Linked DNA regions of Drosophila melanogaster. The protein of the gene in region 2 interacts with the protein of the main gene of each other region in a pairwise test. Each region holds a gene or a part of one and is shown on either strand. Other genes may lie near its edges.

What was found. The genes of interacting proteins can lie anywhere in the genome.
Region 1: the proteins of unc-119 (region 2) and CG7840 interact in a two-hybrid assay, tested with the Drosophila melanogaster proteins (one large-scale study listed by BioGRID).

What each region holds. Positions count from the first base shown.
Region 1 is NT_033779.5:8,302,887-8,307,241, forward strand, and holds CG7840 (uncharacterized protein), read left to right. Parts: upstream 1-2,699; 5' UTR 2,700-2,798; coding exon 2,799-3,779; 3' UTR 3,780-3,855; downstream 3,856-4,355. Other genes in the region: Scgalpha (sarcoglycan alpha), read left to right, coding at 655-1,214, 1,287-1,691, 1,776-1,886, 1,958-2,101, 2,166-2,277; Ostgamma (oligosaccharide transferase gamma subunit), read right to left, coding at 3,939-3,954, 4,020-4,182, 4,261-4,355. UniProt on the Drosophila melanogaster protein: Plays a key role in early steps of protein N-linked glycosylation by being involved in the conversion of polyprenol into dolichol. Acts as a polyprenal reductase that mediates the reduction of polyprenal into dolichal in a NADP-dependent mechanism.
Region 2 is NC_004354.4:7,287,080-7,294,019, forward strand, and holds unc-119 (unc-119), read right to left. Parts: upstream 4,220-6,940; 5' UTR 3,714-4,219; exon of another isoform or gene 3,710-3,713; intron 3,599-3,709; 5' UTR 3,487-3,598; intron 3,317-3,486; 5' UTR 3,172-3,316; coding exon 2,666-3,171; intron 2,600-2,665; coding exon 2,427-2,599; intron 2,186-2,426; coding exon 2,067-2,185; 3' UTR 1,288-2,066; downstream 1-1,287. Other genes in the region: CG2059 (uncharacterized protein), read left to right, coding at 1-19, 93-266, 332-561, 630-767, 832-970. UniProt on the Drosophila melanogaster protein: Myristoyl-binding protein that acts as a cargo adapter: specifically binds the myristoyl moiety of a subset of N-terminally myristoylated proteins and is required for their localization.

The sequences.
Region 1 (4,355 bases), on a different chromosome or scaffold from region 2:
TTACTTCTCCAATTTGTGCGAGATAAACAGAGCCACGTATTTAATTCCAAGAATTTTAGACCGAAATGCCGCAGCTGATTAGGGTTGTCAACTCAATTTAGGGATGACACTTCTCCGCAAAACAGTGACTCATTCACAGTCACCGCAGATATCGATTAATGGTCTATCGCAGTAAGAATTCTATGATTTTGAATTAAAATAAAATATATAACAAAAGGCAATTTAAAATGGTTATAAACTTTCTTATGCTTGCGAATATTAAGTAGATATAGGTTAAGTATGTAGTTTTAAATAATAAATCAAAAACTACGATATGATATAGGACTCATGGTACAAGACTTTATAAAACACATTTTCTGATTGATTTTTTTATGTTAACATAAGTTACTCTATATATTTTAGTCAATTCTAACCTATAAATACTATTAAAAACTGACCTTAGTCACAAATATCTCTGCTTAAGGATCGAAACACGCATGCGCGCTCTTTGAAATTCAAAAACAACAAGTTCTGAGAATATACGTAGTCCTCTCCCATTCAGATACACACCATTGGAATTTTTCATCGCCTCTGCGCTGGGCGGAATAACAATTTGTTTATAGTCAATTAAAATGTGCTTGTGAATCGTAAAAAAAAAACTACATAAAATACAAAATGAAGTTTTTAAACTTAATAGTGGTCGTATTAGCTTTAATCTGCAACGAAGTTCAGGGTCTAAAGTTGCAGGCAAATGTTGGAGAACTCTTCACCTACAAAATCGAACCGCAACTCTTTAACTGGACACACCAGGTGATCAGCCAGCAATTTCGCTACAGACCCTCGCTGAAGAATTATCCCGATTTGCCCAGTTGGATGCGATATATGTATAGCCATGAATACCATGCCGGCTTCCTCTACGGAACTCCTCCAGCATCGTCGGCTGGCAAGGATCTAAGTCTGGATGTGGTCGCCCTTAATCGCCAGAATTACGAAACGCGACGCGTTGTGGTCACAATGTTTGTCGCCCACAAGTTTCCCACACCCAATGTCGTGCAGATGAAAATAAACAATCTGAATTGGGTGCACCTAATGGATCCCGGCAGAAGGGAGAACCTACGAAATATATTCCGCAACGATCTTTGGCCAAATAGCAAGGAGGACTTGAGTGTGGTCTTCATGGAGTCAGCTGTGAATATGGGCGGACGACTTCCACTGCGACCGCAGCAGCGCGAGGGGTAATCTAGTTATAATTTAGTTATCCATAACAATCTCTTATCTTATTATATTCATTTCATATTTCATTGCAGAGTCATTGTCCACGTGGGCAGCTTTGCCCAGTTCTCACCGCGGCTGCAGGAACTCCAGGAGGAAGTGAGACCACTGTACAAGTTGCCATCTTGCACCTACAAACGCACATCCGTGCAGAAAATCTTTGAGAATGTTGGCTTCAAACTGGACTGGTGCGCCTTTCGAATGGTGGGCATGGAATCACCAACGGAAATCCTCTTCCACAGTGGCAAGCAGAACGAGCAGCAGATGCCCGATGATCTGAATCAGAGGCAAGAGGATCGCTGGATGGGAATCGCCAGGGAGGATGTGCCCGAACGCAATTACATCGATGAATTCGCCTTTGCCTTTGCCATTCCGGGCATGATTTTTGCCATTTTAATCGGAATGCTATCAGCTGTTTTGTGTTTCCAGCACGAGAAGTTGTGAGTTTCCCAACTGGGAAATTACGAAATTGATTTCTTCATTTTATATTTTCTTTAATTGTTTTTATCTTTCGTTTACTTCAGTTACGATCCGCATTCTGAGTTTTTCTTTGCCAACATTTTCCACATCTGCGAAGAGTCCTGTGCGCCGCAAAGCGCGTCAAGCGATTCTGGTGCGGATGATGGTTCTGAGAGGTGATTTCACTTCTTATTTTCCTATTTGCTCATTGAAAGCAGTGATTGTATATGATTGGTATCGCTTACAGCTCTTCCAATTCGGATTATCCCATGGCATCCACTGTGCAGATGGTTCAGTGTTCGGATAGCAAATCCAATCAGCCCATAACAACATTGAAAAGCCTCAAGGATCCCAATTTTCTACTGGACAACACTAGCATGAGATCTCAGAGGTGGAGCTGTCTAGCTATTCATATTCAGAACTCTCATATTCAAATATCTATTTATCTATTGTAGTCCCAACAACAGCTTTTACCAGTTGGACTGCGGAAACTCCAGCATTTATGCTCGTCCCAAGCCACCGCCATATAAGGGCGGTACTTTGGGTCGAAATGGAGTGGACATTTGACAAACATCTCCCCGAGTGCTCTACTGCTGAGGAGTGTTGGATTCGAGCGCATACAATTTCAATAAGCAATATCGAGGAGGAGCGTTATATCAATTGCATAAATACTCACACCTGCCGAACTAGACAAACCATATCGTAATTATCATTTTATATAGATATGCAAGCATGAAACTAGCCAATTAGTTTGCCATTTAAGAATAAAGGCAATCAAATAAAGCATAATATTTTAGAAGTCTTTCGTTTTAACTATTTTATGACCTACTCATCTCTGCTAAAGTCGAATTCAAACACTTTTCTTTTATAAAAAGGAAGTACTAAATTCTTTACGCGCCTAATTTTAAATTCAATTGAAACCAGTTTTTATGCATAAAATCGATATTTCAGTTTGAGCCAACGTATCGATGTATCGGTTGTAAAATCGTTCTTATTTCCAGCTCTAGAATGAATGTTCCGCAAGTTTTCGTTTTTCGGAGAAAGTTTTTACAGTTTTTGCGGGCTGCATAGTGCCGAATCATTTCGCAATGGCGCCACCCGAAAATGGGATCCTTGAGGTCCTCGAAAATCTACTTGACCGGTACAAAATCAACCTGCTGCAAATGATGTTCGGCACCTTCATCGCCACGATCGTGTTCTTTGGCGGACTGATGACTTTCGTGGAGAAGTACCTGCCCAATAGCATACGCCAGTCCTTTCGGTATGGCAAGCACAGTTTCAAGGGTGAAACGGATCCTTTGGTGGCCTGGCTGGAGGTTCCGAAGTCCTGGTTCAAGCACTTCTACACATTTGCCCTGTTCTGGAGCTGGCTGGCATTTTATGTGCTCGTTTCAACCGTTCGGGAGCAAAAGGAGGCGCCCGAATATGTACTCCAATTCCTGGACATCATGGGCGGCGGACGTAGTCACCGGAAGGTGGAGATCGACTCAACGACTGCCTGTGTGGGCGCATTTATGCTCACGTTGCAGTGCACCCGGCGTTTTTACGAGACCAATTTTGTGCAAATCTTCTCCAAGAAGAGCAAAATCAATCTGTCGCACTATGCCGTGGGCTATGTGCACTACTTTGGAGCCGTTATAGCTTTACTATCCAATACCTCCGGCTTTGTGCGCGGCTCCAAGCCCATGGAGTTCAGCCTCGACAAGCTGACAAGCCAGCAAATACTCTACCTCGGCGTCTTCTTTCTCGCCTGGCAGCAGCAGTATGCCAGTAACATGATATTAGTTAACCTGCGGAAGGATCCGCGGACGGGAAGTGTCAAAACGGAAAAGCACCTTCTGCCCAAGGGTGGGCTTTTCAATCTGCTTTCGTCGCCGCACATGTTCCTCGAGGTGGTCATGTACTTCTGCATCGCCGATCTCTACATGCCAGTTAGGATTTGGCGATTGATCTTCCTCTGGGTGGCCAGCAATCAAACGATCAATGCTCTGCTAACCCACAAGTGGTACCAGGAAACATTCAGGGAATATCCAAAGAACCGACGTGCTATCATTCCGTTCCTGCTCTGAGTCCGAAGACTGGAAACATTTCGCATTTTTGTACAAATAATTTAGTAGTGGAATTTATTAAAGTCGTTTTACACGCACGAAAAATGTGTGCTCGCTGGTGATTTTAACTACAAAAACGATATAGGGTGAACTTGAACTGGAACAGGACTGCAGTCGATTCTATTTGAACAAGAAACTGTGGGGAAAAGAGAAGCCAACTTAAATATGTGATAAATTGCTTGCAGGATAGTAATGACTGACCTATAGGGATAACCCTGCGCCTTCGAACGAAAAACGGACAACAGGAAGGAGAAGAACACGGTGAGGAGCACCAAACCAGTCATCGCCATTATCCTGTTCTTGTTGTGAGCCTTTGGTGTTCCCGATTCAATCAGCAGAATCATGCCCAGCACAATCATGGCATCTGTAATCAAAGTTATTAGTTAAATAGTCCAAAAATGGTCAACAGAACTAGAGTGAAGACTAAAGACTCAGGACTTACTCAGGAACATGACGATATAGGTCTCCACCACCAGCTGGCCCTGCGAGGAGCCATGGATGTAGGCCACGCCACCATTTTGCGACTTGTGGACCAGC
Region 2 (6,940 bases):
GCGAAAAGTTTCCCGAAAGGTGAGCTTACCAATTTATGCGTTTAGCCAAAGTATCAATGCTCAAGCCAATGTGTATTTATTTTAACCTACAGGTGTACGCCATCGATGTGAGGAATCATGGCGAGAGTCCACATTCGAGTGTCCACAATTCCAAAGCGATGAGCGAGGATTTGCGTTTGTTTATGGAGCAGCGCAGTCATCCGAATGCCGCCTGCATGGGTCACAGCATGGGCGGCAGGTCCATGATGTACTTCGCTCGAAAATATGTAAGTGTTGCGCCTTATGCACAAACTGAGTTAAATGTTAAACAATCATTTTTCCATTATCATAGCCCGAGTTGGTGGAACGTTTGATAGTGGTGGACATATCGCCAATTAGCGTGCCCCGTTCCACGGGCGAGATGACGGAAATTTTCGACGCGATGGTCTCCCTGGACCTTTCGCCAAGCATGTCCATGTCTGAGGGCAGGAAAATTGCACGGGAAAAACTACTGAAAGCCACCGAAGACGAGACCGTTGACTTTATCATGCTGAATCTCCGAAAAAATCCTGACACCGGCGCGTAAGTTTGCCACATATGTATTTGGCCTTTTTTGGGAACCGCTTTAAAATGAGATAATCTTCCTATAGTTTCTCTTGGGCCTGCAATGCCCATGTTCTTCGTGAATTCCTCACCCGCTTCGACAAATATCAGAGTAATTTGGAGGAACTGCCGCCGTACACGGGACCCACTACGTTCATTTGCGGCACGCGATCACCTTACATGAGGTAACTTGGATCCCGAGGTGCTAAGTAAACTAAACTAATTGAATCTTTTTGCCATCTTTATTAGACGCGAGCAATGGCCACAGATACAGAAAATGTTTCCCAATTCTGAGATCCACTGGCTGGATGCCGGACATTTAGTGCACTTTGAAAAGCCGCAGGAGTTTCTAACAATAGTCAGCGAGTTCCTGAATAGAACTGAGTAGACCAAATTTTGATATTTTAACCAAATGTACAAAGAAGTCAATCGCGTAGATCGACTTTAGCTAAATTGGAAAGTGAACGCTTTGTTTTTCTTGGGAACGGGAATTCAAATTAATTTCACTTCAGAACTCGAGAAGACATTCTTCAACGATCTACGCAGATCTTCAAGAATCTTCACCGAAAAGAGCGGGATAGCAATATATATATTTTTTTTTTTGATATAAGCGTTCTGAACTTGATGATTTTTCAGAATATAATAAATTTCTTAAGCACCTTTAGTGCACGAAATGCCCTCGATTTAACCCCCTTAGAAAAGTTTCAATTTATAGTGGTGTATGTACATTTAAAATGTAATTTAATTTATCATTCTTGTTCGGCGTGTAATCGTTAGTGTTTTTTTTTTTTTGGATTTCCAGTTACGTTCGTCTTTTTCCATTTGGTTTTTGTTTAAAAAATATACATACACAGACACGAAAAAAATGCCATGAAGAAGCTGATAGATTTCGTATGATTTCGTATGCTGCATACAAAAATTGACGGCAAATGGATTTTCCTCAATTTTTTTTTTTTGAAAATTTCCAATTCGCTTCTCATAAGTTCTGTGTGTGCGTGTGTGTATACGTACGTATTTTATATATATGTATTTGTTGTTTCTTGTTGGGTGTGTGTGTGGAGTGTCCTTACTTATTAGGATTAAATAAGTGTGTACAAATACATATATAAATCAAGGGAAATCACATAGCACTTAAAATTATATAGTCAAAGTGGAAATCATTGATAAATGAACACAATCCGCGTGCTTCAGTGTGTTGTTGTTGTGTTTGTGTGTTAGTTTCCGTTTGCAGGAGATCATATCTTGATGCTAAATACATCAAACAGGAATGGTGGGTAAAACTTTGGTGTGCTAAGGCTAAAATGGCTGTGATAATATTCCTCGATTCGATTCGATGTGTTTGTGAGTGTGATTGTTGACATTGAGTGGGTGTTTCGTGTGTGTGTGTGTGTGACAAGTCATTGATTTTGTCTCACAGCTTCTGTAGTTTCTAGTTCTTTAGTTATTAGTTTTGCTCTAGTTGCAGTTCCATTATAGTTGAGTTTCTAGACTATATTGCCGCCATCGTAGGCGTAGTCGGCTTTGTTGTGCATGACGAGTCGGTTTCCCACAAAGTAAAAGCTGTCCGAGCGCGTCTCAAAGGGGCTCGATATCATCTCAGCAACTAAAAAAAAATGGAAAACGAACGAACATATTTATGTGAATTGCATTTCATTAATAAGTCCACATCCTACAAACCGATAACAAAAAATAAAAACCATGATAGCTGCTCGCAATCTGACCAATAGAAGCCTCATCTCACAGGCGCAAATCGTAAACGACCTTGACCCACAAACCCCTTCAACTTTTGGCAGCAACTTTCAATTGCGTGTCATGCTGGCTGGGATTATGTAAAAATTGCTCACCTAGGTCGGGTGGAAGGTTAGGAAACTCGTAGATGTGCTCAACCGTATTCTTCGAAAATGGAAAGCAAAAGCCGAACTCAAAGTCAAACGTCTTTAGCAGGCGATCGCGGAAGAAGTGGCGTTCGATCATACGAAAATTATTAAGCGGCTGGCTGCCCACAGTGAATTCCACACTGCAAATAAGGGAAACTTACAAATTGAGAGGCATTTAAAACAAATGCAAATACTGTATAACCTACGTGGCTCCCACTGTTTTGAGGTTGAGAAATGCCGGTGTGAACTGATAGCGCACATAGCGTCCGGCATTTGGATCGGCAGTGTCATCCAGTGACAATTTCTCGGCAGCCGCCAGCATGGTTTCATCCGAGGACAGTCCTTCCGGATATTGTTCACTCGGCGGTTTGGCGATCTCGAAGAGCACAGCGCCGCTCTCCAGGTCGCGAATCTTGAACCGCGTGAAATCAATCTCGAACACATTTGCATTGGCGGAGCAGAGATAGTCGTCCGTGATCTTGGTCAGATGGAGCACCTCGTCGGGAGTCACGCTGGAAGACTCCGCAGGCCGTTTGGCATCACCGGAGGCACCAGCGCCCGCTGCTGCAGCTCCCGACGATCCTCCACTGCCGCCGTTGGCCTCCACTCCACTGTTCGAAGAAGAGGATCCTGCGGCCGCGGAGGAAGACGTTGTCACTGCGCCTGCACCGGAGGATTGCACCGGATTTAGTTGCTTACCCACCACGCTCATTGTGCACGGAATGAATCTGGTGGTATTATTTGTCTATAGTCTGCGTTTCGGATTTCTCAAGCTGAACAGCTTTTTTAAGGCTCCTGGCTGGATGGCTGCTGCAGTGGTATCCTTTGATTTGAAGAAGCTACTCCGCTGTCTCACTCTGCGAATAGAAAGGAATAGGCATTGGTTATTAGGGAGTAAATAATAAAATATAGCACAAATACTTTTGAATTTCTATTACTTCAAACTAAACTGAATAATGAAATATCACATTTTTTTTTTAACATAGCAAAAAAAAAAAAAAGAAGTCATAGTTGTTAAGTTACTCACCAACACAAACACACACAAGTGTAGAGTTGTCATAAATTGTGCCAGGATTTTCTGGTGGAAATATAAGGCTTCGTCTCCGCTACCCTATTATCCTTTCGCTTTCCGCTCCTCACTATTAATTTTTGCCAAATATGAATAGTTATTTGGCGAAAAGCACAAAAATAAGTTAAGTATAAGGTATATAAGTTAAAATAAATTCAACATAAATGCAAACACTACTTACCCACACGAATTCAGGTTGCAAGTGTTGCCATAACATTTAGCTGTCAGCGACAACAACGTCCACGACCATTGCAACAACAGCAACAACAACAACAACACCGAACCGACGACGACAGCAACAAATGAAATTCGTTTGAAAATCACCAGCAACAGCAGCAACAACAACAACAACAACAACAAATGACCCAATTTCTGAAAAAGCTGCGCTCTCCTTTTTCCTTTTTTTTTCCTTTGTGTTTGTTTTTCCCTTTTCGGTTCGCGTCCTTTATGCGAATGTATGTGTGTGTGTGTGTGTTTTTATATGTTTATGTATGCGCAGGGATTCATTTATTAATTTGGTTTTAGTTGCTGTTGGCACTGCCCGAAAATCAATTAGATCAATTTGACCGGCAATGCTGCTGGTGTTGTTGTTGTCGTCCGCAAAAGCAACTTAACGCACTTAAACGCTAAACATTGCACCTTTTTTGCCCACTTTTTTTGCACTACTCAGCAATCGATAGATTATCGATGATGCATTACAGGAAATCGGTGAGACCGTTCGCGCATGGGGAAAAACTTACGACCAACGTTGCCACATACTCGCAAAAAAACATTTCTGCGTTCTAGCAGGGGTCACACTGTTGGCGCAATATTCAAAATATTCTACATTTTACATCTAGAAAAAAGGCTATTCAGATTTTTAACATTATTTATTGTATAACCGAAAGTAAGCGAACGTTTGCAGAAAGCTTAATCGGAAATAATGAGTATAGACAAGTATAAGTATAGATTTTCACATCTTAAGCTTAAATTGAAAACCCAAACTAAAAAATAAAATGCATATACCCCCGTCACTCGCCAGAGTAAACCACTATATACAAAGCAAATTCGAAAAGGAAACACTTTGGAAGCGTGCAAATGTGTTAAATGGCGTGTTGCGATCGCCTTCCCATGCATTTTTGTGGCCGACAATTAGTTAATATCCATGCAGCAGACTGCCGCTTGCTTCTCCCGCTTCTCAAGTGCGCCGTCGAGTGGTTTCCTTTCCTTTCGCTTCCCCTCCCTTCGCCTAGAATGCAGATAAGCCCGGCCTAAAACTCAAGTGTCCTCCTATCCACATCCCATCCCATTCCATATACAACGCACCCATACTCGGACCCATTTCGATTTCCATATTCAGACGCACGGGCGCCAATGCCAGATCATGTTTGTGCACTGCGAGAAATGCTGGCTATAATATTATTTAGATCTATTTCGATTTTTCACGCTTAGTGAGTCGCTATTTTAGTTTATAGATTTCATGTAAATAAAATAGCACTATGATATTAAGATAGTTTTTTTTTTCATATTCATACATAAATGTATTTTTTTCTTTCAGTGCGAGACGAAAGTACTTGAGTTCAATTCTAGCTCCTCCTTTTCACATTTTCTCTGCTTCTTGCCGCTGTTATTGTTGGCCTTAAGTGGGTATTTTAATATTCGCAGCCGGAGCCAAAGAAGTGTTAAGTTTCAGGGGCCACATATGCACTTATCCCCCGTCCACTGTCCACTGCCCCTGCCCCTGCCCCTGTTTTTTTTTCTCCATTGGCGTCCGCGTTTCCTGTATTTTTTTTTTGTAGTTTTTTTTTTTTTTTTTGTTTCTTACATTGGTATTGGTGTGTATCTGTGTGGCAGCACTGGGAACGTGTTCGGCTCTATCTTTAGTACAGTTTGACTGGAGATCTCCAAACTGACCCCCCCCCCCTTGCACCGCCGCCCCTCACTTGATTTATCCCCCAAAAACTCACATAAAATCTGCAGACAGCCGGGCACCTGAGGAATATGCCATCTGACAGGCCGAAAGGGTCGACAAAAGATCCAAGGAATTCGCGGGATAATCCATCTTTTGTATCAGCGCAAATGCCATAGGCAGGATTCGGTTTCATTTGAGTTAAATTTGCTGTTCCATGAGATTAAATATTTTCGAACCAATTTTTAATGACTGCAGCAGGTGGCCAATTTAAAAGTACTAACTCTATATTATTCAATTATATCAAAGGACACTTTTAAGGATAATTTTATTCGCCCAGAGGATGGTAACCCAAAAATACTTAACCTGTTTTCTTCAGAATTTATATACATACTAATGTATATAAGCTTTTCCAAATAGTAGCTACATCCGACTTATCACCGATCGATTTACATTTACATAGCAAATGAAACTTAACGTTCGATTGTTAGTTGATGAAATTTGTTTGAATATTTCTTTCTTTCACGGACGGACCATAGAACTTTTCGAGCCATAGAACTCAAGTACCCCCTCCTGTGTACTTCAATGCGTGTTTGTGTGTGCGTCTGTGTGCCTGGGTATCGAAAACAAACAGTAGAGCAGCAACAAAAACCAAAAATCGTGGGCGATAATATTCGTACTCGAATGGCCGAACAGGGGCGTGGCACAAAAAAAGGGGGCTAGAAATATTTTCCAAAGCTTGTTGCATCTAATAAATGGGATCTTATGGTCATAGTATTACGTTGCTCACATTTTATAAAGTACTGCATACTTTCTTGGGAAAATGTTACGTCTGCGCAGCCTGTTTTGTGTGCCTTTTTATAAGAAATCCCCTTCGCAGAAGACGCCACTGACCCTATTCCAAGTGGCGATGACGTTATGCGCGCCGGACGGTCTGGCAATGCAATGCACACTGCACTCGCACTCACACACAGATACAAACACACCACACACACACACACATACTCCACATCGAGTGGCCGTTTCGGAGAGTGTGTTTTGCTGGGGTTTATTGCGTGTGTGTGTGTGAGTGTGTGCACACTCCATAGAGTAACACCTCCCAAGCAACGCGTTCAGTTCGTCAAAAGCGCCAACAACAACACGAATTGATACACTGAACAAAACACGATGATACTACTACACTAATAAAAAGTAGCACTTCAGCTATAAAGAATATAACTAAAAACCAAAATGCTTAAAACTGCGTGCACTCTATGAAAAGATGTAGGTGTAGTTGCACGTTGCGTAATATCAACATTTTTTCTGAGTGCAACGAAAGGAAGAAGAAGAAGAAGCACAAGAGCCGCAGAGCATAATCTAAATGGAATTTAGCTTTGAGCCTTGCTTTTCGAGCGATTTCTCAGGCGAGATACAACAACAGTGGGCAGCGACAACGACGTCGACGCCTTCGCTGACCACTCCCCCCACCCCGCTGGCCAACTTTGGCATACCCTTTGTAACACACCCCCCTTTTCTCGCAGTGCA